4 linked regions of the Drosophila melanogaster genome follow. The protein of the gene in region 2 interacts with the protein of the main gene of each other region in a pairwise test. Each region holds a gene or a part of one and is shown on either strand. Other genes may lie near its edges. The genes, in order: CG31224, CG14071, Gp150 and CG7886.

Region 1 (7,206 bases), on a different chromosome or scaffold from region 2:
TAATTCCAGTATTTGCTTTGGGCCGTGCCCAAGAACTGCTACTTATTCTGGATGAATTCTGGTCGCAGAACCCGGATCTGCACGAGATTCCCATCTACTATGCCTCCTCTTTGGCCAAGAAGTGCATGGCTGTCTACCAGACGTACATCAATGCTATGAACGATCGAATTCGACGACAGATAGCTGTGAACAATCCCTTCGTTTTCCGCCACATTTCCAACCTGAAGGGTATCGATCACTTCGAGGATATCGGACCCTGCGTAATCATGGCGTCGCCGGGTATGATGCAGTCGGGATTGTCGCGAGAGCTCTTCGAGAGCTGGTGCACAGATCCCAAGAACGGAGTGATTATAGCCGGTTACTGCGTGGAGGGCACTTTGGCCAAAGCCGTTCTCTCCGAGCCGGAGGAGATCACCACACTGTCGGGCCAGAAGCTGCCGCTCAACATGTCCGTCGACTACATATCGTTTTCGGCTCACACGGACTACCAGCAGACCAGTGAATTCATCCGCCTACTAAAGCCAACGCATGTCGTGCTCGTCCACGGCGAGCAGAACGAGATGTCGCGTCTGAAGTTGGCCCTGCAGCGGGAATACGAAGCAGATGCAAGCACGGATATAAAATTCTACAACCCGCGAAACACACATGCCGTGGATCTTTATTTCCGTGGCGAGAAAACCGCCAAGGTGATGGGAAGCCTCGCAGCCAAGAACTCGGAGGTGGGAAGCAAACTCTCAGGTGTTCTGGTTAAGCGCGACTTTAAGTACCACCTCTTGGCTCCTTCTGATCTGGGCAGTAAGTAATAGTTAGTTAGTTTCTTTGTAAAAATGTCGATTCATTTAAATAATTCCCACAGAATACACGGATATGAGCATGTCTGTTGTAACCCAACGCCAGTCGATTCCCTGGGGCAGCTCGCTGAGCACTCTAGAGCTACTGCTGGATCGCATTGGAGCCGGATGCGTTGAGGTGCTGGAGGCGGAGCGAAAGCTGCGCGTGTTCGGCTGCATCGAGCTAACTGTGGAGCAGAAAATCATTGTGATGGAGTGGCAAGCGACGCATGTGAATGATGTGTACGCCGATGCCGTTCTTGCCTGCATCATGCAATCGGAGTTGGGCGGAACAAATCTGAAGGGTGCCACAAAGCAAACCAAGTCAGAGGACTCGCGCTTTCGGGAGTGCCTAATCGAGACGCTACAGGACACCTTCGGCGACAACTGCGTGCCAAAAATGTTCGAGGGCGATCTGCTGCCAGTGACGGTGAGCGGTAAACGTGCGGAAATAAATCTGGAAACCCTGGTGAGTGTTCGTCGAAGGTGCTTTTTAAAATCGAAAAATATCGTTAATCTACAATCTTTCCAGGCCATCAGCTGTGCCGAGGATGATGTGCTGCGACAAATGCTCAATACGACGGTTCAGAAGTTACACCAGACCCTAGTCTCCGCTCTTTGAAAACCATTCTATTCCGCTTAATAAATCTCCTTGTGTTGAAATGTTCTTTTTATTAATTGATTCAATGTTGAAAGTACTATAGTATGCATGAGCGAAATGGTGATTTTTCATTTGTTTCAGCCAGAGTAGTTTCAGCGCTGGGTACTCTTCGCAATCTGCTCTTTGAGCATGACAATACTGACCCGTTGCTCGGAGGGCAGCTGCGCAATCTGTTCGTCGGACAGCTGCAGTACCTGCATGATGAGGGCAGCCTTCTCCTGGTCGGAGGCATCCGAGGGCAGGACTCCATGGGCGCCTAGTCTGCTCTGCAACTGCTGAGCGGCCGCCTGCTGTTGTTGTGTCGGTGGCGGCGCTTGGGGGATTCCTTGTGGCGGCGCCTGCTGCTGAGGACCAGGTCCTGCCCTTAACCTGGGATCCATGGGACGCTGGCGCGGATCGCTGGGATAGGGGGCCGGTGGCGCCTGCGGAACGCCCTGCTGCTGCTGTGGGGGCATCTGGGCACGAGCTCGGGGATCCATCAGCGGCGGTGGCACTGGATTGGGTAGAGAAGCTCGCAAATCCTGGTCCATGCCACGGCCCATCATCCTGGGATCCATCGGCATGGGTCCACCCGGCACCATGCGCAAATCGATATCGTTCGGATGGACATTGGCCGGGAAGCCAGGTCCGGGAACGGGCATTGGTGGCTGGGGAGCCTGTTGCTGTTGCTGCGGGATCTGCACCTGCTGTTGCGGAACCTGTTGCTGACCCATCATGGTGTGATTCCCCGGCCCCTGGTGCGGATTGCCGCCCAAGACGGGGGGCATTTGGTTGGCCTTGAAGAGCATCCCGAGCGCCTGCTGAGGGTCCACGATCCTCATAACCACCATGGCCTGGAGCAAAGCGTACGCCAACTGAGGATTGAGCATTAGCATCTGGCGTGCCTCCGATGGATTGCTCACGATGCAGAGCTTCATCTGCTTCATCAGCTCGTACATTTGCTCCGGCGGCAAGGAAGCCACCGTTTTGGTGATGAGCTCGGGAGCATCCTCTGGTTCGCAGGGCTCGCCATAGGGATTCTCCACCTGGGGTCCCTGAAGCAGCTGCTGCATCTCCATGCGCGACTTCTCCGTACACGCGTTGTCCACTCGCAGTGTTCTGCCGCCGATCTCATAGCCATTCAGATTCCGCATGGCACTTAAAGCCGTCTCCTGGTCCTTGTACTCGCAGAAGCCAAAGCCCTTGGGTTTGCCACTTTCCCGATCAAAGACCAGTCTGGGGGATTGAGAATAGGAGGTTTACAGTGAGATATTGCATGGCTCTAAGTAGGGAACTCACTTCAGTGACAAGACCGGGCCCACTTCGCTGAAAATCTCCTTTAGCTTCTCCTCGGTGGCCTCGTAGGGTATGTTCCCCACAAAAACCGACCGCATGGACTTGTCCATTATACTTTGTTCCTGCGCCTTATCTGCCATATCTGTTGTTTGTTATTATTTACTGCACAAACTCGACAAAATCTTAGCAAACGTTGACAAACTTGTCTAAAAAATTCCCTGCGTTCCGGCTTGCTGTTTCTTCTTCTTCCTTGAATAATTTCCCTTACCAGGGATTCATACTTTTCATATACTTTTTGGGAAATAAAGCGGTATGGGACGCAAAATATTAAACAAAGTGTAATAACAGATACGCAAGCCATTTTATTTTATTTTCTTATCTAAACACCTGAGAAAATAATTAACAGTATTGGTCTAATTTTTGGGATTCTCATCCATTGCCATCACTTAGAAACGTAGTATTTAGCAAGAAAATAGCTAAATGCCCTGCTTAGCCAAAAATACCACCACTGCTAGTGCTGGTAAGTTCCCGCAGCCCGCATACGTTTTGCAGCACTCCAACGCCTGGTGTTGTAATTTTTCTTGTCGCAAGGTGAAAACGATTTAAACGGTTTTTGATAGTGAAAAGTGCACCAATATGCACGAATTGTACACCAAATTGTAGATGAAAGTGGCGTTTATTCGTTTTCTATGCGGCAATAGACAAAAAACGGCTCGAAGTGCATGAAAAACGTGCTTGAAAATATTACTTTGTGTGTAGCCACACGCACTCCAACACACACAAACGCACACACACACAGACAGAGGGAGATAAACGCAGCGATGGCCTCGCAGTCGCACTCGCACATATAAAAAGCTCGCTTGTATATTGGAAGAAGGAGCGCACAAAGCGGAAGACGAGAGGAAAGATTTCTGTGTCATTGAACGAGAAAAAGAAGAGAAGAGAGCCTCCTGGCTCCTGGTCCTCCTGTTCCAGTTCCTCCTCCAACTCCACTTCCTCTTCATCTTTAAGCGGCCGCAGGTGCACCACGCTCTTTACATTTCCAAGGATACGCTCTCAGCCGCTCTCTCTCTCGATCGATACTGGTAATTAGCTGGCGTCCTCTCTTTGTGGAAGTGTCATTCCATTCCATGGACGAAACGAAAACGAAATCGATGGCAATGGCTGGTGAACAAAAGCGGAAATATGTGCATTTTTAAATTGTGTGTGTCTGTAATTATGTGAATAATAATCAGCAGAAAAAAATCGTACAATAAGTGGCAAGATCAGCGACATTAACGCACACAAACAAGCGCGCGTGTGTGCACACTGGAAAAAAGGTTGGCTGGCGATTGTTGTCGCTGCAAACTGGGATACTGGAATAAATCATAATGCATTTACGCACCGTGTGCTCCTCAATTTTTCGACAGTCTGTGTGTGCATGTGTGCATGTGGGTGTTGTGTGTGCGTGGTGTGTGTAACCTTTGGCAAAGGAAAAATCAATAGCAACAGACGTAGACATTTGTTTGCCGCTGTTTATGTGCAGCCCTCGCATTGTCCTTCGCCCCCAAAACAAAGAGCCACCCTTGCAGAGATGGCCAAATCCCAAAAAAGAAACAAGTGAATGTTGGTCTGCAGACAGACTATAAATAAAAGCAAAAGTTATCGCAAAAGGCAAGCAGCAAAAGGCAAACCAGATGAACGGCCAATAACTCGTCAGCAGGCTGGGTCTGGGTCGTTGCCTCTTTTTTTCCGATTCTGATTCCGTTTCTTCCTGCTGCTCTGGCTCCCCGAGAGAAAAAAGCTGCTCCAGAAGTTGTCTCACCCATCTGCAACCGGCATTCCAATCCGCCATTTCCATTGCCCAAACAGGACCTTCTAATCAGAATTCTTATGTTGCTCTACTCAGAGAATGTGGTTAATATGAACGGATTCGAATATAAGACATGGCTTTACTAAATCAATAGAATCGATTTAAAATGGCACCTCTGATTTCGAAAATGTGGAATCGACTTTAAGGGTGACTGTGTTGAGGTTGGGTCTGCTTTGTGCTAGAAAAGTTTATTGACTCTTGTTCTCTCATTTTGATCCTTTGCGATCCTCAATTATTAAATATGCCTTGTATGTTTAATTGTACTTATTTGGTAGCTTTCTAAAGAACAAAATAATTACTGGTAAACCAAAATCATTATAATCATCATATTAGAAATGCACTCGCTGTTGAAACAATTTTATTTTTATCATGCTTTTATTTTGTTGGCTTTTAAAGAAATTACTCACTACAAGAAACTTCCAACGAACGTTTTTTTACTGATTATTTGTGCTACCCCCGATAGTAAAACATTTGTGGTTTTAATTGAGTTACTTTCAACAGTTAGGATGCACGATGTGCGAAGGGTTCTTCCAGTCCAAATCACCTTTCTATAAGAAAAGTAGGGTTTATTATTAAATTATCAGCTTTATAAATTTGGATTGGTTTTGTAAAAAGACGCGTTTGTTAAGATTAAACATTACGCATTCCGTGGATACTTGATCACTTGGATCGCCGGACGGCGCATTCTTCGCATATCGGGTATCGTTTCACCGAAGACGTTGATATCGGAGCGCAGAATGTGCCCAGGGACTGGTACAGTAATTTCTGGCACCAACATTCTGACATTCTTTATATTCTCCAATGCAGCTCACCCGCGTCGAATCAGAGGATTGAGCAAGATGGACGCCAAGCCAAGGAGATACGCTGTTTTATGACTCTGAAGGGCAACCACGCCAGTCATCCGTCGCACTAGAAAGCTAGAAGCCAGGCTCCCAGAGAGCAGGAGCAGCCAGTGAGCAGGAGTAGGAGTAGGCAGGAGCCACACATAGAACAATCTAAAATCGTCATCATGGTCGACAACAGTGTCCAATGCCCCGTGTGCACATTGTACCTGCATGCGGGCATGAATCTCTCCGATCACTTGGAGACCCATCCCAAGGAGCAGGTGATCAAGGCGCTGGTGCAGATGACGATCGTTGGGAACGGTGGCAACAGCATGGGCAGCGTTCTCGCTGCCGCCATGTTGACAGGAGGATCTGGAGGAGGTGGATCCAGCGGCGGCGAAGCCAGTGCTGATGAGAAACCGGCCGTCTTATCACCCCCTTCTGGCGGCGATGTCAAACCAGTCGTGGTCAATACCATATCAGCAGCAACAGCGCCTGTGCTGCCACCAGCACCACCACCGCTATCCTCCTCCCTCGTGGCGGCCTGCTCCAACGGAGCCGCCTCTTCGACAACCAGCTCCACACCCACCTCCACCTCAGCAAGCAACAGCAGCAGCCTCAGCAGCAGCAAACCGAGCAATCCACCGATGAAAGCACTGAAATGCTCACCGCCCACAACTGAGGCGCGAGCCAGCACATCCGCACATCCCACCACGAGCAGCGTGTCCACTTTGTACCAGCCAGCGCAGGTCACTCCGGATTATCGCTTCAACCAGCAGCAGCAGCAGCCGCAGACGTCGGGCTTTGGGCGTGGTGTCACCACCTCAACAGCCGCGCTGGTGATTCCGCAGGTGCCTCAGCAGCACTTCCTCGCCAGCCATCAACAGCAGGCTCACTTTCCACACCAGCAGCAGTCCCCGCAGCAACAGCAGCAACATTCGCAGCATCAGCCTGCTCTGAAGTTCAGCTACGCCACAGCTTTGCCCCCACCTCCGCCGTTGCAGGTGAGTCCGAGTCCCAGAAGTTATTTGTCCCGTCTTAAAGGGTGCAATCAAGATTTAATGCAGTACACCTTTGAAAAGAAAGGGGTAATATTATTTACGAAAAGTATTAAGAAACAAAATTAAAATGTATACCCACTGTACCCTTTATGCTTATATAAATTTAGTATTTATTTTCGAATTGAATTCCGTTCTTAAGCAACTCGAATTTCTTTACAGCTATTTACGCAGCAACAGCAGCAGCAACAGCAGACGGTTGTTCCACCGCAGACCCAGCAGCAATCGCACCAGAAACCACCTCCCGCCTATGGAGCCGCCATTAGTCAAATACGATCTCAGCACAACCAAAACAAACAGCAGCCACAGTCCCAAAGCGTGGCCATGCAACCCAACCTAGCCCTGGCACCAACGACGACATCAGCGGCTTCAACTTCACACGCAACTGCAGCTGTTAAGCAGCCCAGTAAACCTCATACGGAAGTATTCCTGAATCCCCCACCACCGCCATCGGCACAGCAACAGTTGCAGATCCACAGTTTAGTGCAAAATCAAGGTCAACACCATCAGCATTCTCACCCGCAGCAGTCGCAGCCGAGCCAGCAGAGTCACCAACAGCCACCGAGCTTGCAGACCTACGGATTAGGGGTCAGCAATAGCTGCAGTTCCTCCAACAACCCCTCGACCTCGGGATCTGGTCATCGTGCGAATCGTCAGACAAACTCACCGTTTGGAGCACTGCTTAATGCTGCAGCGGCAGTGGCCT
Region 2 (6,087 bases):
TTTCAGTGCTAGTGCGTTAAAATGCCAAACTGCTGACTCGAAATTTGTCACGCACAATCAGCTGCGGTGGTAAGTGCTGACCGGCCACGCCCACTACGCCCACACAAACACACACATACCCCCATGGATTATGGATGGGTGGTTACGGGGTGGGCGTGGCCACGTCGCCACGGTTAGCTGCTAAATCCGCACTCAACACTTTCAAGGTTTCCCGCCTCGTTCTCCAACAGTAATGAAAAGTCCATGCGCGCTTTTAGTGGCCCAGTTGACAGCTGCCAAAAATATTTCTATGGGCCTCTTAAGCCATCAAAACCCGTGCATTTAATTAAACTGCGGCAAAAATATTTAATAGCCAGCAGTGTAGAAGCCAAACGTGGAATGGTTCACCTTGAATGAATCCTGGGAACTAAGTGAAGTCCTTCAGTGGTTCGAAAAACATATGTCCCGCGAATTAATTATTTTTTTTCCAAATAAAAAACACTTACTATTATATTAATTAAACAAACTAAAATGAGCAAGTTGTTAATTAAATCTATTATAACAGCTGTTTTACGAATTTGATTAATTAAAATGAAGAAAAATACAATTATTTAACCGTTTCCAAACTGTCAATTAACCGATGTTAATCAAGTTTTCACAATTAACCGCCAAATGACAGCTGAAATGAACTTTCAATTGGTAAATCAGCCAACCATCCAGCTAGAATTAAAATTAATTAATGGCATTTGTTTCTGCAACTGGTTTTGCATGCAAGCAATTATTGAATAACGATTTTAATTGATTTTCAACCAGAAATTCACAAAACCCTCAAAATATCAGCCACCTCCGCGAAAGCAGACTTCCCCAATTAAGCACCAAAAAAAAGAGGTTACCCGGATTTTCATAAAAAATACTATCTACTATATGCGAATGCGTCTATAAAAAACAACACATAGCAGCATGTTTCATAAAAAAATTCGTTAGTTTTTTATCTTTTGCGCTGTGAGTTTCGCATACCTTCATATATTCCAAATTTCATTTTTCCCATCGTTGAATCCAAACCAGCCAAATGTTTGTCAAACATATTGGGTAGATATTTGTGCGCATTTGATTTTCATTTTACTCAATTTCCGTGCGAAATTTTTCTGTTGAATTGAACATTAGATGGGCAACATGTGTTTGATGCATTTAGTTATTGCAATTCCACGGTTACCTGTCACACCAAAAGGGTTTAATTCAAAATAGAATTTAATTAGGTTAATAAGAAATATATAATTAAGTAATCTGAATGTTATTTTAAATATAAATGAAAATTGTTCACGTACGTGTTAAATTTCCAATAGTTAAGATTACTACTACTACGTTTTTATTAAGTCTGTCTTATGTTACGAGCTCCCATTTATTTTCTTAACAAAAAGTTTCCGCGTGAGCTCTTCAGCTTACTCGACGACTTCATCTCCTGGTTTCCGCTGCTGAGTATTAAGTATACGCCCCGAGCAACAATGATGATGCGCAGGTTTTTTGTATTTTAACTTTCAGCGAGGCAGCTGGGCGGCAAGTAAATATAACCTGTCCGGAGTCCGGACTCCACCCTTCCCCCTACTTACTATCATCCTTTACCGCAGGTAAACCACAAGAATACCAACCACCCAACCTCCCACCCACCAGACCCCCTAACACGTGGTCGGTCTCCTTGTGAGCGCACGTGTGTACATTTTTAATTATGCGAGAGCACACAGAGCGACGAGATGAAAACAGAGCAGCGTGAATGTCGGGCAACTAACTTATTAAAAAGCACTCGACCGGCAACGTATATATTTGCCAAATAAAGCGGAAATTAGGGCAAACTAGGTGCACGCATTCTAGCCCCCCCCCCCCCCATTTCCTTCATTTCCCAAGGACGAATATCCAAGCCTATCCTTCCGTTCGCAATTTTCAACTGACCACCTTGTGGCGCAAGCAAGAAGTGGAAGTTACTCAAGCTAAATTTTCCCGCAAGTGATTTGCATAACTGTAGGCAGATGCCAATGGCTGTTGCTCATCACATTGTTTGGCATTTTAAGGGGCGAGTTATAGAGAAATGTTCGGAGAAAACCCCATGAAATCCTTCAGTAAGCCGGCTTACTGACTGACTGAAGATAACCTAAAAGTGTGCAAAGCCTATTAAGCTGGCAAAGCCAAGAGCAAACGAATAAATGAAAAAATCCAAGTGGATAGAATTGTTTGTGAACTACTCGTAAAAATGTAACTTCCATAACTGAGTTGGAAATTGCTTAATTTGACGGGGCTGGTCCGAAAATCGAGTCTACCGAATATCATATACCGTGCAGGAGTTTAAAACGGAAAAGTCGAAGATGATCAGATATCAGATAGTAAAAATGGTAGCCATTTTTTAAATCATTGTGATATTGTTAACAATACTTTTAAGCAAAAAAACAAAGATATATTTATTAATATATATTTAATATGTATTTTCATTATTATAATTGGTACCAGTTTCGAATGCAAATTTGCATATTAATTATTAGTGTAGATGTAATTATAATTCATTGGTCTTGAATAAATACATGTGTAATATTTGTTTGCTAAATAAATGAAACAACATACCCCTCATACTACCTCACAATCAGAGCACAAAACTACGCACCATAAATCTTACGGCCAGTGGAAAGGGACTGGGAATTTGGGCAGGGCAAAAATTATTACATGCCTCATTTGGCAGCGCCTTGAAGAGTCTGCTTATTATATTTTGATTATTTTCGGCACGCGTGTTTCGCAGGACCTCAAAGCCAGGATCTCCGCGTCGAGAGCTGTAAACAAATTCGTGAAATACGCAGACTGGTCAAGGGGCGGATGTCGATTTGCAAGGACGAGGAGGATAAACAGGACAGCTGGGTTTTTTTTTTTTTTGTTTTTTGTTTCGGTTGCATAATTTTTCATTTTATTTTTGGACTCGTTTGGCCTGCTTTTGTCCATAATGAGATATCTCTATCCTCCTTTGTTTCTTTTCATCATTTTGTCCATTGTGTTTCGGTGCTTGTTGTTTTTGCATTTCGCGAAATGCCGCTGGGAAATTCTTGTAACCAACAAAAAAAAAGGAGCAAAAATCCACTGGGCTCAAATGGCAATGATGGCGTCGAGGTGGTCTTATTAATTAGGACACGCGCCCTGAGTTGTATATATTCCCAAATATTCTCCACTTCAAATATACACGTGAACCTCAAAAGGGACCGCTGTTATTGTTATTTAAATGCATGGCAAGATTCTCTTTCAGAAAGCTTCCCTTGATTGCCAAATTTTGATTAGCATATAAATGCAGAAGGGACAAAAAGAAACTATATCTTTGTGCCGTTAACTCGTGGAAAATTTTAAACTTCAACACATTCTTGTCCACTAAAAAGAGATAGTACGAAAAATAACTATTTGAATGATAGTTTACAATGCTTCTGCTATCATCTACTCGTAATGCATTTCGGCTTAAACAATTTTTGAATGTAATGATCTATTTCCTTTTTTAACTACAGTCTTTTTGTTTTTTCTCGAGTATTCAGTGGACGCCAGCAACACATATTTACCAATCATAAGTAGGTAGCTAGAAACTGTTCGGATTTAAGGAACAAATTTATTGCTAAGTTAAATCAAATACTGCTCCACGTAGAAAACCACAAACTCCTTTCAACGGCGTAACTACACTGTGCAGCAATGTCCAGATCGGCAAAGGGCTTTGGTCGTTTAATCAATCCGGGCGTGGTACTCCATCCGGAACTGCATCAAAAGATGGCCGACTTTGAGGCCATGACCATCGAGCGATCTGATTTGGATCACGAATTGAGCCGATTGCGCAAGCAGCAGGACGATACCGAGGATAATTTGGCAGAGGCGCTGGCCGAGGACGAGTTCCAGTGCAATTTGAGTGGCCAGCCATTCGTTGCTCCCAACGAGGACGAGCTGCAGGAAATTCTGAGGAATCACCTCGGTAGCATTATCAACAAGCTGGCTGCCACGTACGAGCGCCTTATTTACCTGGATGCGGACATCAGGAAGCTGAAGGGAGTCATTGAAAAGGCCATCACAGTGGCTAATGAGGAATCGGCAGCAGCCGCCTCAATGTGAAGATATGTATTTAACCATTACATACGTTGTACTTCTACATATGTGTATCTTGAAAATTTCAGTTCGATTTAATGTGCAAGTAAAGTTTGCAAGTATGTTAAATGATTCGAAATTGCAAGGGCTATGTAAACATGTATTTGTATTCTCCAGCTTTGCCATATGTACCCGTGTGCCGTCGATAATCAGTAAAATATGTGTTACTTTTGGATAATGAAGTCCACGTTCGATGCAACGCGAAATCCATTCACACATTCCGCTGGACATCTTAAATCATTTTGGGTGAAATTAAAGCCGCAACAATCTCATTTCCGGTAATTCTTTATGCACTCGCGCACAGACAATCCAATGCGAGCCAGAAGACACTGCAAATTTAATTGCGTATACGCAATGTTGCCACTGCCGTCGCGGAAACAGCATCCGCTGCGGCAGCAGCTACACTCTGCTGACTCTATCGTTAAGTGCATAAATTCAATAATGCCGAGCGTCTGGCGGTGTCAACGCGCTGCAAATATATAGACTCGCCGGATCGATAAAGCTGAAGCTTGAAAATTTATGGAATTTCCTGTGCATTGAAAATGGTCGCCATTTACTGAATATATTTAAGTAAACTACAGCTCAAAACAAAAATGCATATGTTATATATTGACTTTACATAAAACCCCAAAATGTTTAGAAACATAAGAAATTAATTCTACTTGGATAAAGTTAAACTTAAACAATTCTATACCAAACTGTAACTTTAATTGCCAAGGGGACCACAAAATGGTCTGCGCTTACATGTATAAGGATGCAATTGCATATTTGTTGTTACTTTGCTTTGGTTAAACATTAATAGTCGGAGAATTGAGAAGGAAGTCGAGGTATATTTGAAGAAAGCCAGACTTATGGGCCCTGTCCTGTACTCTAATTAATTAAATTGAAGCGTTCGACGACGAGGTAACAATTTCAATTTTATTCCCGTGCCAGCCAGACTGGTCAAACAAGCCAAATGCAAATTTCCCAACCAGACATGGGTCTTAACAAGAACATTTGCATGAAGTCAATCATCTCGACCATTCTGGCCAGTGAACCGAAAATAAGACACTTTGGGTCTGTACCGCTGTGACTCTGATTGCCTTTCATCCCAGTCAATTGGAAAATTCGCACTAACAAAGCATTTGTGAAGGTTCGAAAAATGTCGGATGTATTTCATATTTTTACTTAATTTTGATTCCTGTTTGTTAAAAGCACATTTTAAAACTCCCTCGTTGCGCTAATCGCTTTCCAGCCAATCTGGAAATGTTGAGCTCATCAATTACAAGTGCCACAACTTAAAAACTTGGATAATAATTTTTTGAAGGTCATCCTTTCTCGTCGTTTGTCTTCATTATGATAAATTGACGTTGCGAACATATTTCATCTGAGCGCTGAAAATTAGAACGATGCGATAATGAGATGTTATTAATATCAACTTGCGACTTATTTAGTGACAAAACCCTTTTGGTCGCCCAAGAGAATAGCATTATGCAAAAATGCGAAGAGTATAAGAAAATGTTTAAACTGGCACAAAACCCTTTAGGAAAAAGAAAGAAAGAATGAAAAAAAAAAGACTAAGCCGCCTCTTGTTGAGCAGCCTTCAAAAGTGTCAAGAAAACAAATGACGGTCACCTTTTTTTTTTGTTTGCGTTTCTAAGCCAACCTTGAATAAACAGAAGTATGAGCAAGTGTTAAACTTTCTTTTCTTATACCCATCAGCGTTGCCTTTTTTTTAAGGCTCTCGCCTCGAAGCCCTATACCATGGGTTTTGTAACTTGAGAACATAAAAAGGACTATGGCACAAAAACTTCAACCATGATTTGACCCGCTATACTCGTTTATGAATATATATATTTTTTTTGTAATTACCAGGCAACCGATTTTTCTATTGATAATTGACGAATATACTTCAATGCTACACATACAAATATAAGTGGCAAAAAAAGAAATGATTGCTTAAATTCATGTAGTACAATTTGT
Region 3 (10,217 bases), on a different chromosome or scaffold from region 2:
GTAAACTATTTCGAGAGTGATTTAACGATCCAGGATGTTGTATTTTAACAGCTTTGGCTAACAATGATGTCATATGAATGGGATTTGGATGCCTATGCCGCCGAGTGAAAGCCAAATGCAATTCTCTATCGCCGCTTGTTCACTGATCAATTGAGCGTGACGCTCGGCTCGCATATTTCGCACCCACATTGCGTTGACTTTTTACCTTAACCCTGAATCTAATCGATCAAGCCTGACAGTCAGACAAAGTGGCATTAGCATTAATCAATTCCTGCCATAAAACATTAGTCACCGATGGTCCCAAGCCAAACGAAACCAGCTGACAACTGAGTAAATGTTTTGGCCCTATTCTGCGCGACTGCAACTTTCTCCTCTTCTGCAATTGTACATTGGAACCCAGCATTTGGGGCGTTGGACGCTGAATCTCTTTGCGGGATTGCCTTGATCTGCTTTGGTCTGACCATAACTCAAGATCTCCAGATCTTAAGCCGATTTCACAGCCTCAAAGTTTGGGTTCAGGGTCTTGCATTGGACTTGGCTACACATATGCCCATGTGCCCGGGCTAATGAAATGCAGAGAGACTTGGCTAAAAGTGACTCAGAGGAGTGTGCTTACGTGCTGTGCAAGCCGTTTTGAGGCTCGGAATGCGGCCTGCCACATGGAACGTGGCCAACTACGTTGGTGGAGGCCAAAATGCAGCCATTCCAGCCCTTAATTTAAGCGATAAATGCTGCAAAAAAACCAAAACCAAACGTAAATATTATGTAGAACCATAAACTGTCTAATTAGGAAGATACGCTATTGATCAAATTGCTTAAGAGGTAACAGAAGTGGACACTTTTGAGCTTTCCTTTGTCCCACCTAGACTGTATTTTCATGGTAGTCTTACCAATGGCAAGCAAAACTGTTCTTTGTTAATTCCATTAACTTGATGAGTGTAAACGCTGATTGCAGGCCTTTTGACAGTCCGCGATCAGTGCCTTTCAACGCTCAGTGATGAGTTCTAGCCTCTTAACACTCGACACTTAATAAATATATATTGTAGATGGCTCAACGGGTTGACAATTCCAGGCATTTGTCTCTGGAAACGCTCGTTCGACCGATAACCAATACGTGATGGCGGAACGCTTTTGTTATTGAAAACAAAGCCTCGTTCGAGTGCAAAGTTTAGTGCAAAAAGGTCGGATTTATTTTTTTAAATCACACTCGGCTGGGTAAACAAATCAGGTTTCCGACGACTAAGCACAATGAAAAGCGCTTTCCAGCTTTTCAGCTGGGGGCAGAAAGTCGTGCCACAAGCCAGACTGCTAGAATCGACTTATCCGGCACTCTAAAAGTCGGAAGCTGGGATCGAAATACGATACAGATATCGCTAATGAACCGCCCCCGCCAGGTGAAAGCCGGTTTCTCATTTGCACCACCTCCTTAAGTTCTTAATTTATGTTACGCTTCCTGCTTCAGATTCAGGGCTATATATACGGTGCACCGATCGATCCAAACAAAGGGCAATTGCTGGCAAGGCGAGGAAGCAGGCATAAAACTCGGATTCGAATGGCTGAAATCAATTTATGGAGTTTTAATCACTGAATTCCCATGCAGGGAATTCCCTCAGATAACAGCAAATGCACTTTATCGACTAAAATGCAGCACACAAGGTGCAATTTTATTTCCGATCGATCAGAAGGCATTACTTCGCGATAAATTTTGAAAAGGTCTTAACTGAGAAATGTCGTTTCGCTCACACGAACTTGCAGCTGCTGCAAAATTTTACCCTGAAGTGTAATTAGTTTGCCGACTTGGCAAGTACGCGTCTCTTTTAAGCTCCAGTGACCTTCTTAGATAAGCTAATCGATTTCCTATAATCGAATAGCAATTTTAATTGATTATGACACTTCTCACTATATACTACATATAGTATTACAGACAATATGTACACACTAGACACTACAAAGTGTCATTGCGATTAAACTATTTACGTAAACATTAACGACTTTATTTTGATTGTAATAGAGCACATTCGGTGCGAAGAGTTCAAGCAACTCGAACGTGACACCATCGGTTATTATTTAGAAATTCCCTTTCGAAATGTTTGAGTTTGAGCGAATTGAAATGGCTTTTAGCAAGAATTTTTCGTAACTGGTAAAGTCATCTGCCTGACTTTTGGCTGCCACCGGGCTAACTTGGCTCACACATCTGCTCCGAGTTCGAGTGGCAGTTTCCAGCCAAAAACCAGTCTGGCCATCTTTGTGAGCCAACAGTTTCCCCCTTTTTGTACCAACCTTTTGTGCCAACTGCGTGTTAGTCTGTGTGGTCAAATGTCGGCATTTTTTATACTTTTGTGTTTATTTTTTATGTGCACGCCTTGGGCAATTTTGTCCATTGTACTGCCTGTCTGCCTGGCTGCAAAAAATTAACGTTGCAGAAATTATATTCCAGAATGGCTTCAACCGAGTGGGATACACTATGATATATAGATGGAAATGTTATATCTGAGCAGTTGGCCAGTGGTGTATTTTCTAGCAGAAATAACAATCGTAAATCGTCAAAATCCGCAGCAACTCGTGATGCTAATGAATCGGTCAACAAATTTGACGATGTCGTGATCCGCAGATTTAAAGCCGGATGAAATTGGCTTGAGCCACCCTAATGAAGGCATCAGCTGAGGCATTTCCGTTTCGCCTGTCCCTCCACTCTTTCCATGAATCGATATCCTTTAAAGGGGACACATAAGTTCCCGAAAAAATGCAATATTCTACCTACACGTCCGTTTCTCTCGTTTCACTTCCTGTTAACGCCAGCTATTTTTACCCAGACATCTCAATCACTATCTGCCCACGCACACAGACTCATGATCGCATTATTTTGGGTATTTCTTGGTATTTGCCAGAGACACATTTGTGTTGATCGTAAGACGGAATCAAGGCGAAACTACCTGAGTTCGAGGTTCATTAGCCAACCTTGCTAATCAACGGGATCTCTCTACCCAGAGGAATGCAGATATTTTTCGGGCATATACTTGGTATATTGACTGCCCAAGGGTCGCACCCAGTTTCCAATTTCCGATCGACGACGCACCCATGCACAATTTGATAACCGGGCCCCATCTGCTCTCCAATCCACATGACATTTCTGGGTAACTTGATACTTAAATGTGGGTTGGCGGGTCTCATGGGAAGCGTTTATAATTCTAATCTGTTGACAAAACCGACCACATGCCAACCGTCTGTGAACCAGTTGATAAAAACCGAAAGACAACCAATGGAGCCAAATCAAAATATACTAATAAATTGAATAGAGGTTTACGTTTAAACAAATCGTGTCTTGTATCAAGACTCGAAATCATTTTGTTAGGCGATACTCTGATACTCTGTGGAAGTGTGCCTTTAAACGAAGCGATCCAAAGTGTTTCCGTATCGGGTTACGTTAAGTACGGGGCCATTATGTATGACAGGGCCAGATCAGGGTTTATCTCGATCGAATGTCAAAGTGTTCTAGAAACAGTTTCAGGAAAGCATTTCCCCATTAGCTGGACGTTAATTAGATGCACGACACTACAAAGCACTCAGTTATAGATTTTTATTTACTGGCGGGGGAGACAGATCAATGGAGGGATGGGGCTTACCGATTGGATATATCCCGACTAGTCTAATCTTTACAGCTGTAGATAGCCGCAGCAATATGATGAATTGGCTGACTCACGAATTTCCGAGTGGAAAACGTATTTGCATACATGTACAAGTATGGCCAGTGCCAGTGCCAGTTACCGGTTTCTCTCTAAACTTGAACAGAGTCTACCCTCGTATAGCCCAGTTCAAGCGGACATCTGTGTATACAGACATATATACATACATATATCGCTGCAATGACAGAAATGGAATTAATTATGGTCGGAGTGTCGGCGGCGCCTTGGCCAAAGCTAAAGCCAAAGCCAATTTCAAGCGAGCCAAAAACCGCTGTCTTTCTTGACTCGATGAAATGTGTTAGCCGAGAGACCTAAACACGTTTAATGCGATCTCGAGACTGCAGTTTTCCCTTCGCGCTTGTGTCAGGCTCCCAGTCAACCTGACACCCACTCGCAACGCGGAGCTGGCTGCTAAGCGGTTTGCTGTGGGGTCTAATGAAATGCTCTAACATACGATATGTGCGCACATATGTTCCCATAGCCGCCATACTGTGTATTGGCTGGATAAATGCGATCTATTCTGGCCGCCTTAACTGCGCATTTTGCATTTTACACTTTGCTGGCGGAGTCGGATCTCTCGCGATCCCGGGTCGTTTGCCTGGTTACGAAAAGCAATAATACCCAAAGCTCTTTGTTTACCACTCGGCGAGCCACGGTCTCGAATTATGTGTTTGCTTTGCCATGAAAACGAAGGCAAACACAGGCGGTCTTTCAATAGGGCCATCCGCCATGGAATCCGCATCGAATGGGTGGAAAATGCATTCCAAAACTACGTAAATTGCATAAGAGACCTGGAGAGCGTCGAGTTTTCAGTCTGGTTTTGAGAATTTCTTAGAATCAGCGAGCTGGCAAACGAGTTCATAATCGGCGTCAAGAAACGCTCAGTGGGGATTCCCTCATATCGAATCGATTCCAAAAAGCACAATGTGATTACCCAATCGTTTAGTTAGGGTAACCAAACCAGTCGCGTGCAATCAAAGGGCAAGCAAACTGAAACTCAAATAAACAAGCTCCAGTTGATGACAGACCAACTCGAATCGCGAGATTGAGAGTCAGCAATTCTCCAGAAACTATTTTCGGCATATGCATTACTGTTAGATGATGTATACAGTACTAATCAATAAGGGAAGTACTTTGCGGATACGGTAGTGCGAATTGTGCTTTCACTGGATTCTGAGTAACGTGTTGAAAATACGCAGCGAATCATATGGGGTGCAAAACAATTGCCATTAAACGATAAGCAAACATTTGGAAATTCGTCGATTCGAATGTAGTGTACCTACTAAATTAGCATGCGAAATGATGTCAACTCTCCGGGTGCCAATGTGCTAATTGGGGCAGTCAACTTGGCTCACCATTTCGTCATGCAGATCGGTGATTTTTAAGGAAATAGGTGGACAATGTGCGCATTCTGAGACCAGCCATGAGCTCGGCCACCTCTCCAGAATGTGGTTGATTCAATAAACGCATATCTACTTATCTGGCTCCAGCAATTAGCGATAAGATAGGGCCCGTTGGGTGTGAGTCGTCTGTTTTTGTCATTTTCTCAGAAGCGGCCATTACTGTACTGTATAACGTTGAATTTCCTGGTCCATTTCAGTTTGCCCATCTACAGGAAAATGAGTCGCCAGTCGACTTGCAGGCTAGTCCTGCTGCTGGCCTTTACCCTGGCCCTAATCCACGCCAGCCACTCAAATACCGTGGGCCCCAAGATCCACTTCATTCATGACGATCTGACGGAAAACGAGCTGAACTCTGGAGAGGAGGTGAGCCCGACCGAGAGTCTGCCCAAAATCTCCACCCCCAAGGTAAAGGATTTACCCGTGGAGACGACCACCAGGAGCCCCACAAAAAAAACCACGTCCTCCGGCACCGAGAAGTCCCTTAGCGAGGAGGCTTGGAATGATCTGATGGAGGCGGCCAAGCACAGCCAAGCTTTGGCTGATGATCCACACTTCAACAAGATGCTCAATACTACCGTCGCCGCCGGGGAGAAGAACTCCACCGATACCGACGATAGCGAATACTATGACTACGATGATGATTACAACTATTTCGATGAGGAGACGGTGACGATTTCCCCCAGTCCCAAGAAGGCCAAGAGCAACCCCAAGCTGCAGCCCATTGTGGATGCCACCATCACGAAGTCCAAGGTATACTTCCCCCATCATCCTTAAATTCAAATAAATATGTTTTCGTACTTTACAGAGCAAATCCAACGACCAAAAGACCAAAGAGAGTGCTAACGATATCGACAGCGACTCTCAATATGACTACGACGAGGGTCTGGATGATGATGATGACGAGGACGATGCCGCTGACGACCTTTTGACCGATGATGAGCAAGTTGTCTTCAGCGAGGACGTTCCGTGTCCAAGATTCTGCCAGTGTGCCCGGAATGTCAACAGCTATCTGGTGGCCACCTGCAGCAGACTTGACATGGGCATCCAGAAGTTTGGCTCTGACATTACGGATTTGGTTGTGACCAATGTGGGTCCTAAGTACCCCATCCTGATGGGACCCAACTTCTTCCAGAATCTGGGTCTTAAGAACGTGGCTTCCATCAAGATCGCCAACTGCACCTTGGAGTACCTGCACGCCGAGGCCTTCCACGGACTGAACGAGCTGTACGCTGTTAACTTGACGGATGTTGGTTTGGCTATCATTAATCCCGATACCTTTGTTGGAAACAAGAAACTGCGCATGCTGACCATTTCGGGTAACGACTTGAGTGTGATGTCCAGCATTCACTATTTGCTGAAGGTGAGTGATTTCAAAAACCTTTACCTTGAAATCCAGCTAATAAATTATAATTTTGCAGTCTTCCAGCATTGAGGAGCTGGACTTCTCGCGCAACAACCTTATGGAGTTGAATCCCAAGGCCTTCTCCCATCTATCCAATGTCGTCTACATTAACTTGAGCCAGAACAGTCTCAAGAAACTGCCCGAGAAGGCTTTCGAGAAGGTTACTCTTCTGGAAGAATTGGATCTGTCTTACAACTCGCTGACTGAATTGCCCCGCGATATCTTCAATGGCACCACCCTGTCCATACTGCACCTGAAGTACAATACCTTCAATGGCGATCTGCACTTTGGCACCAAGGATCTGCAGCAGCTGGACTTGAGCTTTAACTCGATTGTCCAAGTGCACCACAGCATGTTCGACAAGATGCCCGGTCTGACCAACCTGAACCTCAAGGGCAATGGCATTAAGAAGATCCAACCGGACTCGTTCCTTACTTTGAAGAACCTGCGCCACATCGATTTGTCCATCAACGATCTGGACCAGATCTCGGGAATGCTGTTCTTTAAGAACTCTGAGCTGGATGTGATCCGTTTGAACGACAATCCTCGTCTGAGCCAGTTGCCCACCGATGGCTTCTTGAGCTACAGTGGGGAGTTCACCGTCTACTACCTGGATATTTCCAATTGCGCCATCGGTCCATTGGGTCACAAGGCCTTCTCCACTATGCCGCATTTGACCACCTTGAAGTTGGCCTGGAACAACATTAATCATCTGCCGCGCGAGATTTTCACTGGACTGCACAAGCTGATTGACTTGGATCTGAGCAACAACCTGATCACCCGCATGGACGATCTGATCTTCATGGACAACGGAGAGCTGACTAAGCTCAGTCTGGCTGGAAATCCCATTAGCCGCTTGTCCGTCCGCCTCTTCCTGCCGCTGCACCAACTGCGATGCCTGGACGTCAATGACTGCGAGCTTACCACCTTGCTCTCCGATCGCGACTTGGGTGCGGGTTACAAGATCTTTGACAGCCTGCGCTCCTTTAACGCCTCTGGTAATTTGATCAAGAAGATCTCTTCGGAGGATGTGAAGAGCTTCAAGAACCTGCGTTCTCTGGATATCACCAACAATCCGCTGAAGTGCACTCCCGACTTCCAGGAGTTCATCAGCTACGTCACTCTTCAGATGCAGATGACTCCCAAGCGTCTGCCCGTGCTGGCCAATCTGGAGGACGATGCTACTATTGTGCAGCTGGAGACTCTGGCTCAGGCTGGTTGGTCGTCTTTGGCCCACGAGGTGTGCAAGCATGCCGAAGGATCAGATCTCTTGGACGAAAAGAAGGCCGACAGTGCCGAAGCCAAACTGGAGAAGCGTCTGAAGGAAAGCGTGAAGAAGCTTAACGAGGATGAGGCTAAGTTGCTGAGTGTCCTGGACAAGAGTGTGCTAGACAAGAGCAGGCTGAGCAGCATGCAGAAGATCATGAAGGGATCGGTGAACACTGAAACCGCGAAGCCTGAGGAAGATGCTGACGAGGAGAATCTGAACAATGGCGGCGAGGATAAGGAGGATGACAGCAGTGACTATGACAGTGAGGAGGATGATGATGACGATGATGAGGACGATGATGATGACAACAACGATGATGATCGCTTCGAGGAGGCCAAGAAGAATGCCAAGGCTAAGGCCGATGCTAACAAGGCCTTCGACACGTTCGTGAACAAGGAACTGAAGCCAGTCCTGAAGACCGATGGTATCCAGGCGGAGGAAGTGGACATGTCTCAGGAGACCCGTGATAAATTCCTTCTGGGTAAGTTTTAGCCAATCATTCGTTGATGGAATGTATTCCAATCGTATGTTTTACCTTCTCAGAGAAACTGGGCTTCGACAGCGAAAGCGAGGAGTCAGATGAGTACACCGAGAAGATGATCTTCCACGGCGAACTATCCTACGACCTGGTGGTCCCACTGATCGTCGTGTCCTTCTGCCTCCTGATGATCGTGCTGTCCATCGCCCGAGTGATCTACGTGGTGCTGCGCAAGCGCGGCGAGCGCTATCGCATGGCGCTGCTGGCCTCAAAGAACTCGTTCGTATACCAGAAGTTGAGCGAGGACATCGTGAAGCCGACCAGCAAGGAGCAGAAGGAGCCCAAGCATCTGAAGCAGCCAAAGGTGCACCGATACGCGCCCATCAATCAGGTCTAAGTCCACCTAGAATCAGCAGTTCCGGGCCGGTGGCCGCGGAAATCGAACGAGTTGCGCTGTTTTTCTAATTTATAAGTATATTGATAGTTGAAAAAGTGGAAAATCACATCAGACAATTGACTAAACACAAGCACAAGAATGTAAGAAACAGGAGGAGGAGCAGTAGGTGGCAGTTAAAAGTATTAGCGAAAGTGCGAGGAAACAAAGCAACAACTAAAAAATACTTGAATCCAAATAAGAGATTGAAAGAGAGAGAATAAATCTTTGACAAAATCCTTTATCCTTGAAATATCCTGTACCATCAAATACTGTTAAGACCAGTCAAAGGTCCTTGGCAACAGCAGAGGTGGGCTTTCAGAGAACGCGTTTGATGAGCAACCGTTTCGAAAGCAACGGATTTGCAATTTATCAAACCTCTGCCCACAATCCGTATCCAATTAGTCCATATCCGGGAACAACTTGAAGATTTAGTGCCATTTTGCCAAAATTCAAACCGAGCGAAAATTACTTAAACACATTAAGGTTTCTAAACTGAGTGTCAAGTCAGGAACAAGAAACGAGGAGCGAGGAACAGAAAGTAGTAAGAGTTTTAGATGCGGGTCTGTGTAGCAAACGGTTAGGAGACTCCCTAGAATGACGTCTGATTTTTAATATGATCAAGAGATGAGAGAAATAATTAATGCATAAACTATGTTAAGACTTTTTTATTATCTTTTTTCCAATCGAAGGCAAGTAACAGCTTGACCTATTCGACATTGAAACCGATTCCGAAAACAATAAATTATTTTAACCAAACCGATCGTAATCTTTACAATGCATACTTAATAGACATACACACTTGCATACGTACTTTAAACAATAACATGCCTTTCAATAAAATTGAATATATTTTATCTGCGTTCAATAAAAGACTCAAGTTGACCGACATCCCCTTCCTCCTTTACGTAGGTGCTCAAATTCCGCTGGAAACAGAGTGCCAATTCGTTATCTTCCCGATCCCGTTTCAGTTCCTCTCTGACCTGCCGCCACATCCGTTCAAATCCACTATCGAACGGCATTCCCAGGAAGCGATTATGTCTGGAACGGAGTTCATTGCCGATCTGCTGCCACATTGCCTCGAATTCCCCGTCGTAGGGCATCCCTAGAAATTTACCCTCACATCCGGAGGATTCGAACATGAAGGAGTACTCAAACATGTTTCAGTCTAAAATATATTATAATTACAAAAATTACAAGCTTTTTTTGGAGCAACTAATTTGTAGGATTTAATCCTTTTTTTTTTGTTTTAATGATATGATATCATGTATGATTTGTATGATATTATATTAATATTAATATCTTATATCATAGTATTTTTGGTCCCAGCGTCGGTCTTCTTCCTGCAGCTTAGGAAAGCAAACTGAGTAGAGGATTCTCAAACGAAGTGCAGACCAAAAAAGAGGCCACAAAATAATGCTGAATGTACATAAGATCCATTGCGACAAAGAACATAAAGTAAACAAAAATCAAGCAGGGCATCAAATTTCCTGTGATTCTGTATAGGGTTTTTAATGGTATTTTTCGTATATACACAAGTCCAACCAA
Region 4 (7,440 bases), on a different chromosome or scaffold from region 2:
TCTCAGCGAGTCGGAGCTGATAGGCACTAACGATGCTGGTAAGTTTCAAAACGGTGAAACTTTTATGACTTCCATATAATAGCTATGTATATATAGAAGGAAGCTGGACAAATTCCCTAAGATTTTTTCAGTATTTTGACACGTTATTTCTCTCTTCCAGATGATATAGCATTGAATGGCGCCCACTTGCTGGAGGAGCACGATCTGGTAAATGTGTTCGACACGCTGTCAGACGATGCCTTCAACGAGCTGTTCCAATCCGGTGTGTATTTAACCACAATTTTACTTGTTCAGCTTTTCATTGTACTAATCCATGTGTGCCTTCGCTGCCAACGCCACCGCCATCGCCTTGGACCTGTGCCTATGCAGTGCAACAAGCCGAGTGCGAGGCTATGGACCGGGCTTTGGACCGGGCCTTACAGCAGACAATGGGCGGCTCGGCGGACAGCGCCTTTCTTAACGATTTCCTGGACGTCGGCGACGATCTGCTGGCCGATGCTGTGATGCACTCACCAAACACGTCCGGCATCGATGCTCCTCCCCTCTTTGGGGACAGCAGCAGCGGCGGTGGCAATAGCAGCAGCAACGGCGCCTCCGACATCCGGGGCTTGGTGCAGACCTAATTCCGGCATCAGGTCGGATTTATGGCCTACAGAATTTACAGATTCATTTAGAGAGACAGAGAGAGAGATTTTCAAGCTTGATTTCCCATTCACTTTTAGGCAGTTTTCGCTTAGAATTTCGGTATTTTCTTTTTGGCCATTTCTTACCTGCGATTCTAGTTTGGCACAATGTTTCTATATGCAGCTTCAATGTTATGCATGCATTCACCAGCAGATATGCATGAATAAAATAGCATTCAAAAACCATATAGTTATGCGTTAATGTGAAAAACAAAAAAAAAAACACACACAAAAAGTAAAAAATTTGAAAAAATGTCCAAAAATATTAAATTCAACTTTAAATCAACATTAAGAATGAAATGTATATGTATCCGTACGCAAAAACATAATATTGTAAATTCGCGGAGAGGTGTAGCTTTACGTACATCTTAACGTAACTTAATTTGTTAGTGAACCAACAAAAGGATTGTAGAGATCAGCTTTATTATACATATAAACGAGAAATTATAAAACAATACCAGAGCAAACAGATAAAATGAAACCGAAATTGTAGGAAATCTAGCAACAAATTTTGAATTCTGAATTAAAGTTACGAACGCGATACATTGGAAAGTTCGTTAACATAAACAAGCCTAAAATTTGTTTAAAAATTTTGTGAACGCATTTACAACAACAACCACAACACCATACACTCAAATGAGAATTGCAAGAACTACGAAAACAAAACAGGTGAAGCTGAAATTGTTTAGTTTGATTTTAGTTCTTGGTTTGCACCTAATACACATACACATACACACCCACACCTAAACACCAACACACATACATACAACGTACAAGGGACTAGTTTGAAACCGCGAATCGTATTACTAAATATATATACAACTATATATACTTATATATATAAAATATAGCTATATATACATAATACCACTTAATATATCTGTACACATACTTTTAAGTGTAAGCTTTAATTTAAACCAACCCACAAACAAAGAAAAGAAAACCCTATAACAAAAAAAAATTAACAGATTGTAAAAGTGTATACTTGATTTATTTTTAAGCTCTTTTATTTAGCCATTGCTCGATGGCCACAAACTTTGTTCGATTTTAATTAAGCCTAACAAATTTTAAAAGCAAAATTAGGCTGACCGACAATTTTTGAGTTTTAGCATGCGTTTGTCTATTCTAGATTATGTAAATTAACAAATATTATATAGAACATAAATGAATTGTAATTTTCTTTAGTCTAGTGACAAGCAGCAACTTATAAATCGAGATATATTTATACAACAATACACAAAACAAGCAAGAAAACTGTTACGCTTTAAAATACGATATATACCGCTCACTGGAGACCGATCCCCAAATCACAGCCCTCAAGAAAACAAAACAAAAAAATTCACACCCAAACCATTCCATCTCCATCCATTGTAAGTTTTCTCATTTCTCATCTGTCACGCGGAGTCTAAGCAAGTATTAAATGAATGAAAAACGTTTAATTACACTAGATAACTATGTATTTGTATATGTATCACGCATCGAATTTTCATTACGTTAATGCACCACCCATGGCACACTCAAACACTTGCATCTTTCATAGGAACTTTCGTTTGGGCATAGCGAAACGATAGAGCAGAAGGAACTACTTTAAAGATAATGGAACTCTGTAAAATATGATATATAATAATTCCCCCACACTCTCACTCTCTATCTCTAAAACCCTATATAGATATATTATATAAACGTATGAATTCGTTCTTGAGTTAGTTGATTACCGATTACCGGGTTCACTTGATTACCGATTGAGTTGGCCCGCACTTTACTCTGATCTACTTCGCTGTGCAAGTGACGCGAACAAAATTAATGTCCTTTTTGTAGCGAAACTACAAAACCATGTATTTGATTATATGCTTTAAACCCTATTTTTATAACACTTTAATTTGTAAGAACTGTAGCGATGAACCTACAACCCCGCATCCCTCCAGTAGCCGCCTCTTTTTCACCATTTGAAGTTTTGTCTGTTTTCGGTATGAGGTACAATTTCATTTTGTAATTTACGTGCATTTTTGTGATCTAATTTGTGTAACTATTATAAACGAAAAAAAAAAGAAATACAAAATACTTTAAGAAAACGAAGCAAAAAAAAAAAAAAATAAAACAAATCAAAGCAAATGAAAAAAAGAATTGATTGATTTTATGGCAACAGAATATTTTACCCTGAAAATATAATACAGTATTTTTAGTAAAAAAAAAAAACCAAAGCATCCTGGCTTGTCATTGATCAATGGGAAATCGGTATGGGGAACTGATGGCTGGGTATCGGGAATGGGAATCTCGGCAGGCGGTGACCAGATTTTCATAGACTCACATTCGTTTAACAACATAATTTTCTCCTAGGAAACAGTTAGTTTGCCTTGACACATACTCCGAGTAACTCCCGAAAACAAAATACAAAAAACATCAGCAGAACCGCCGAATTAAGAAACCCGCTAATCCTTCCCAGGATTCTTTCAGTGCGTTTCGTCGAGTTGTGGTCGAGGATTCAAATTCAAAGGTTATATTGAAAATTATTATTTTCTATTTTGTTTTCCTTGCTCGACCACCAACCCAATCGCATCTAATCGCAAGGAGCATTCAGTCCAGTGCAAAAGAGACAAAAACTGACCAGATCTGGTCCGGATTATCCCCGTTTTGCTAAGGTGAGTGAGTGCCATGTGGCGGCATTTCCTACTCTGGGTTGTCCGTATGCAGCGATTATTACATCATATCCTAGCAGGCGTGTCGTTTGCTGTCGGTTGTAATGCATACAAATGCCTATCTGAGCTGCCGTCTCCCCGATTAGTCACTTTTTTTGTACGTTTGTAAGCTGCCGCCAGTTTTCAGAGTGGCGCCACGGGGATACGTGGAATAGCGTGGTAAGTGGGCGCCACATGCTCCACCATCGACCCCACTAACCGACTCCTCACCACCAGTTGTGCTCTACGTATATTTTTATATCATCATTGCGGAACCACAAAGCTCTCGACTACTTTCTAACTGAGGAACTGAATCAAAGGTGAGTTCAATTCAGCATATTCTGTATATTTGCGCTATGACTCTTTCCCGCATAAATTGATTTAAATAATATGTAGTTATCACCGACAATTATTACTTTATTTGCTAATACAATTTCCTTAATTTGTACGAATGCGTATGTCGTAGGACATAGCAGGACTAAAACTGTGTTTTAAGCTTCGATATATTTACATGGTCCCTACAAGCTGAACTTAAGCTATCCTTAATCCAAGTGCCATAAATAAGAGGGGGGGGGGACTGTTTGGTGCTATAACTCCGTGGTCTCCAGTTTTCGGGCCAGGATCTGAGCATTGTTGGTCATTTTGTCGATTTGGTTGTATAGATTAAAGTGCCGATTAAGATCATTGCTGTTGTTGAATAGTTTGGCAGTTCCCTTGAGCGTTTCGTGCATATCCTGTGTGGCCACGGCCAGAAAGTTATCATCCAAAGAGTCATGGCCACCAATACTATGGAGAAATAAGTGTTATATATTTAAGTAAGGGACGATTTAGTGATTTCCTCTATTATCGCACCTGCCACTTTCTTCTGATTTGAACCACTCGTTGTCGTAACCCTTTAGCCAAATAGGATTTGATCCTTGGACACTGTGCTTGTTGGTATTTGGCACTCGAGTGGCCGGCTCCTGAGCGTCTTGCAGGGACATCGAGGAGTGACCACCTAAATGGAATTTGTGTATTAAATATATTAATTTATCTTTTATCCTAATCGTTACTTACGGAATATATTGACTTTAGCGGCTCTCAGCTGCCTGCGGTATCCATTCCGTTGAGAGGCGCAAAGTGCTATAGTGACTACCAGTAGAGTGGCCAGAAAGAGGTTGGTGAAAATCAGCCACACGAATAAAGGACCTCGGCTGGGTCCCGCGGTCAGGAGCTGAGCCTCTGCCGCCTGCGTGTCCAGCACGTTGAGCTCTTTAAATAGCCCATTCAGGCTTTCGATGTGCGAGTCAATCAGTTTGAGCACCTCGGATACCTCGTAGATTGAGTTATCCTCCCGCTCGACTAGATGCATGTACAGATCCGTCTTTGTCTTGTCCACCGAACCATCCTTGTTCTCATGAACCTTAATCTCATCAATGTTTACAATCGATTCTGTTATGTTGCTCAGGGTGCTAAGGTATGGAAATAACATTAGAAGGGGGGTTATACTTTAAAATCAACTCAATATTTACTCTCTGAAGGAGTCCACTCGAGATCGCAGTTCGTCCGGCTGAAGTCTAAACACGAATCGCACCTTTTGGTCCTCTCTTAACAAGTAGATAAACACATGGGCCACATCCTTCATTCCTGAGGTGTCGTTGGCCAAAACGACGAAATCGAAATAGCCCTTCATTCCCTTTTGTGGGTCAAAGTTTAGCTGCACTTCTCCGGTTTCCTGATCGAGAAGGAAGGGAGCTTTGCGTACGTTCTCCAATCCCTCGGAAAGAGTCTGTCGGATTTCACCCACTTGGTAGTATCCAATCCTTCCATTATCTCCTTCATCTGCATCCGTAGCCTCCACTCGCATGAATTTTAAACCGAAATCAGCATTGGTCGTTATACCACCAGTAAAGATTTTAGAACGGAATCTCGGTGGATTATCGTTGATGTCCAGCACGCGCACCTTTACTTTTATTACAGTGCTATCTAGTTCTGGATGGGTTGTTGCCAATCCTCCGGTTGGATCCTCCTGACTACTGTCATAGGCTTCATACGATAACAGCTCTGCATCTTCTGGTCCGTATTCATTACTCTCTGTCGATCTCAATTGTCGAGAGTGTTTGAAACGATCATATCCAAACTGTTGGTTATGCACAATGCCTCCCAATCTATTGTTAATCTCGATTCCCATACGACGACGTTTTTCGCCACCAGATATAGAATCATTTCTACAATTCTCAGTGGCACGAACATAGAGCGTAAAATTGGCAATCACCTCGCGATCCAGTTCACGGTCAACAGTCAATATATGGGTTTCGGGATCGAGACGAAAGTATCCCGCTTCGTTTCCATTCACTATAAAGTAGCACACCTGGCTGGGCGTATCATTCGGATCGTCCAGTTCCAACTGATCCTTATCTATGGTGTCCGGTAGCTTTATTCTTTCGGATCCTGGATCCGAGTGCTCCGTGAAGTTTACGGATATTTCGTTAACCATAAACTGAGGCTCATAATCGTTAACATTCCGAACATAAATCGTTAGATCCAAGTCTGAACTCAGTGAGGTTGGCAATCCCTGATCATAGGCTTCTATACGTATCTGTAATGAAAATTATATCATATAGTATATTCTTTTGTGTGTTTATACTTTAAAATTTGTAGGTATAAGGAGATTTGGCATTTACCTCGTGAATCTTCTGCTTTTCGCGGTTAAGTTGTTCCTTCAGAAAGAGCTCCCCTGTGCTGCCGTCTACTTCAAACATTTTGTAGCTGCCCAATGGATCGGGTTTGAGTCTGTATCTCACCAAAGCATTCTGCCCCATATCCCCATCACTGGCATATGCCTGTAGTATCAGCGTTCCCACAGTCGCATTCTCCGGAATGCGAACAGTGGTGTTATGAAGTGGCCTCACAAAAACCGGAGCGTGATCATTGAAATCCGATACGCAAATATCCAAGGTGTTGTGCACAATATTGGCTGGAAGGCCCATATCTCGCGTAGTTATAGTAAGGCTATAGTTTCCGTATCTATTGCGCAAACTTTTGCTAGCGAAGATTTGGGCATTCCAAGCGTCTATCTGGCGCAGCTCAAACATACCTTTAAGTGCAAATATATTTAGTGATTGAAAGACTTATTCTCCTTCAAATCCTTACCATCTTTGTTACCCCGAGTGATGGCAAAATCGAGTCTACCATTTGGCGTAGTGGGGTCATCTGCATCCTTGCCCACTATGCTTGCCACTCGTTCATGCAACTCGTGATACTCAGTGATTAAAACACAACTCATGGGCAAGTCAACCTCTGGTGGATTATCGTTCTCATCGAGTATGGAAATGCTGAAAGAGCTAAATGAAATAAATTTGTCAAATGCTTAAATTTTTATAACTTACAAAACCTGTTTGAAGGCATTGCGACTTTCTCCGGCCAGGAATCCGAATTGATAGTTATCCCAGGCCTCGATAACCAGGTTGTAGGAATCCTTAGACTCCCTGTCCAAACGATCGGCCACCGTTAGCACCCCAGTGTCTGCATCTATGGTAAACTTTCCCTGCGAACTGATGCGATCCATCAGGAAGGTGATCTTGCCAAAATCTCCCGAATCCGCATCTCCAGCCTGGAGAGTGGCAACTCTGGTGCCTGGAGCTGCATTTTCACTAATCGTATAGTTCTTGCTGCCACCCACAAAGTAGGGATTGTTATCATTCTCATCCAGCACTGTTATATACACATCCACCAGTGAGGATCTTGCTGGAATTCCAGAATCCGTGGCCCTCACACTGAAATTTAGCCACTGATGCTGCTCATGGTCAATCTTGCTGGCCACCACAATTTCCCCTGTTTGCGGATCCAGATGCATTAGTGATCGGTACGTGGGATTTCCTTCCAGGGCATAGGTTATGGTGCGATTCTTGTCCACATCTGAGGCCAGCACATTCACAATCATTGCCCCGTTTATGCTGTTCTCCGTAATTGATTGACGGTAAAAGGGAAGTCGAAACTTTGGGTTATTATCATTTTCATCCAGCACTTGAATGCTCAGGAAACCCTCAGCGATTTGTCTGCCCTTGGCCGCAGCCAGATCCTCCACAGTAATGGCTAGCTTA

Evidence for each region.
Region 1: the proteins of CG14071 (region 2) and CG31224 interact in a two-hybrid assay, tested with the Drosophila melanogaster proteins (one large-scale study listed by BioGRID).
Region 3: the proteins of CG14071 (region 2) and Gp150 interact in a two-hybrid assay, tested with the Drosophila melanogaster proteins (one large-scale study listed by BioGRID).
Region 4: the proteins of CG14071 (region 2) and CG7886 interact in a two-hybrid assay, tested with the Drosophila melanogaster proteins (one large-scale study listed by BioGRID).

The regions. Positions count from the first base shown.
Region 1 is NT_033777.3:18,655,405-18,662,610, reverse strand, and holds the start of CG31224 (uncharacterized protein), read left to right. Parts: upstream 1-3,301; 5' UTR 3,302-3,851; exon of another isoform or gene 3,852-4,085; intron 4,086-5,425; 5' UTR 5,426-5,627; coding exon 5,628-6,446; intron 6,447-6,662; coding exon 6,663-7,206. Other genes in the region: Cpsf73 (cleavage and polyadenylation specificity factor 73), read left to right, coding at 1-795, 857-1,299, 1,363-1,452; CstF64 (cleavage stimulation factor 64 kD subunit), read right to left, coding at 1,584-2,706, 2,770-2,906.
Region 2 is NT_033779.5:10,886,373-10,892,459, reverse strand, and holds CG14071 (uncharacterized protein), read left to right. Parts: upstream 1-3,532; 5' UTR 3,533-3,681; coding exon 3,682-4,092; 3' UTR 4,093-4,184; exon of another isoform or gene 4,185-4,191; intron 4,192-4,242; 3' UTR 4,243-4,815; downstream 4,816-6,087.
Region 3 is NT_033778.4:22,319,892-22,330,108, forward strand, and holds Gp150 (Gp150), read left to right. Parts: upstream 1-3,011; 5' UTR 3,012-3,078; coding exon 3,079-3,134; intron 3,135-5,226; exon of another isoform or gene 5,227-5,283; coding exon 5,284-5,836; intron 5,837-5,891; coding exon 5,892-6,446; intron 6,447-6,504; coding exon 6,505-8,239; intron 8,240-8,301; coding exon 8,302-8,633; 3' UTR 8,634-9,523; downstream 9,524-10,217. Other genes in the region: CG34207 (uncharacterized protein), read right to left, coding at 9,524-9,829.
Region 4 is NT_033777.3:14,638,118-14,645,557, reverse strand, and holds the start of CG7886 (uncharacterized protein), read left to right. Parts: upstream 1-2,994; 5' UTR 2,995-3,322; intron 3,323-3,399; 5' UTR 3,400-3,538; intron 3,539-3,595; 5' UTR 3,596-3,678; intron 3,679-3,781; exon of another isoform or gene 3,782-3,945; coding exon of another isoform or gene 3,946-4,144; intron 4,145-4,210; coding exon of another isoform or gene 4,211-4,355; intron 4,356-4,414; coding exon of another isoform or gene 4,415-4,809; intron 4,810-4,869; coding exon of another isoform or gene 4,870-5,936; intron 5,937-6,021; coding exon of another isoform or gene 6,022-6,434; intron 6,435-6,490; coding exon of another isoform or gene 6,491-6,672; intron 6,673-6,726; coding exon of another isoform or gene 6,727-7,440. Other genes in the region: l(3)L1231 (lethal (3) L1231), read left to right, coding at 1-38, 161-262, 370-623; Cad88C (cadherin 88C), read right to left, coding at 3,946-4,144, 4,211-4,355, 4,415-4,809, 4,870-5,936, 6,022-6,434, 6,491-6,672, 6,727-7,440. UniProt on the Drosophila melanogaster protein: May play a role in cilium biogenesis.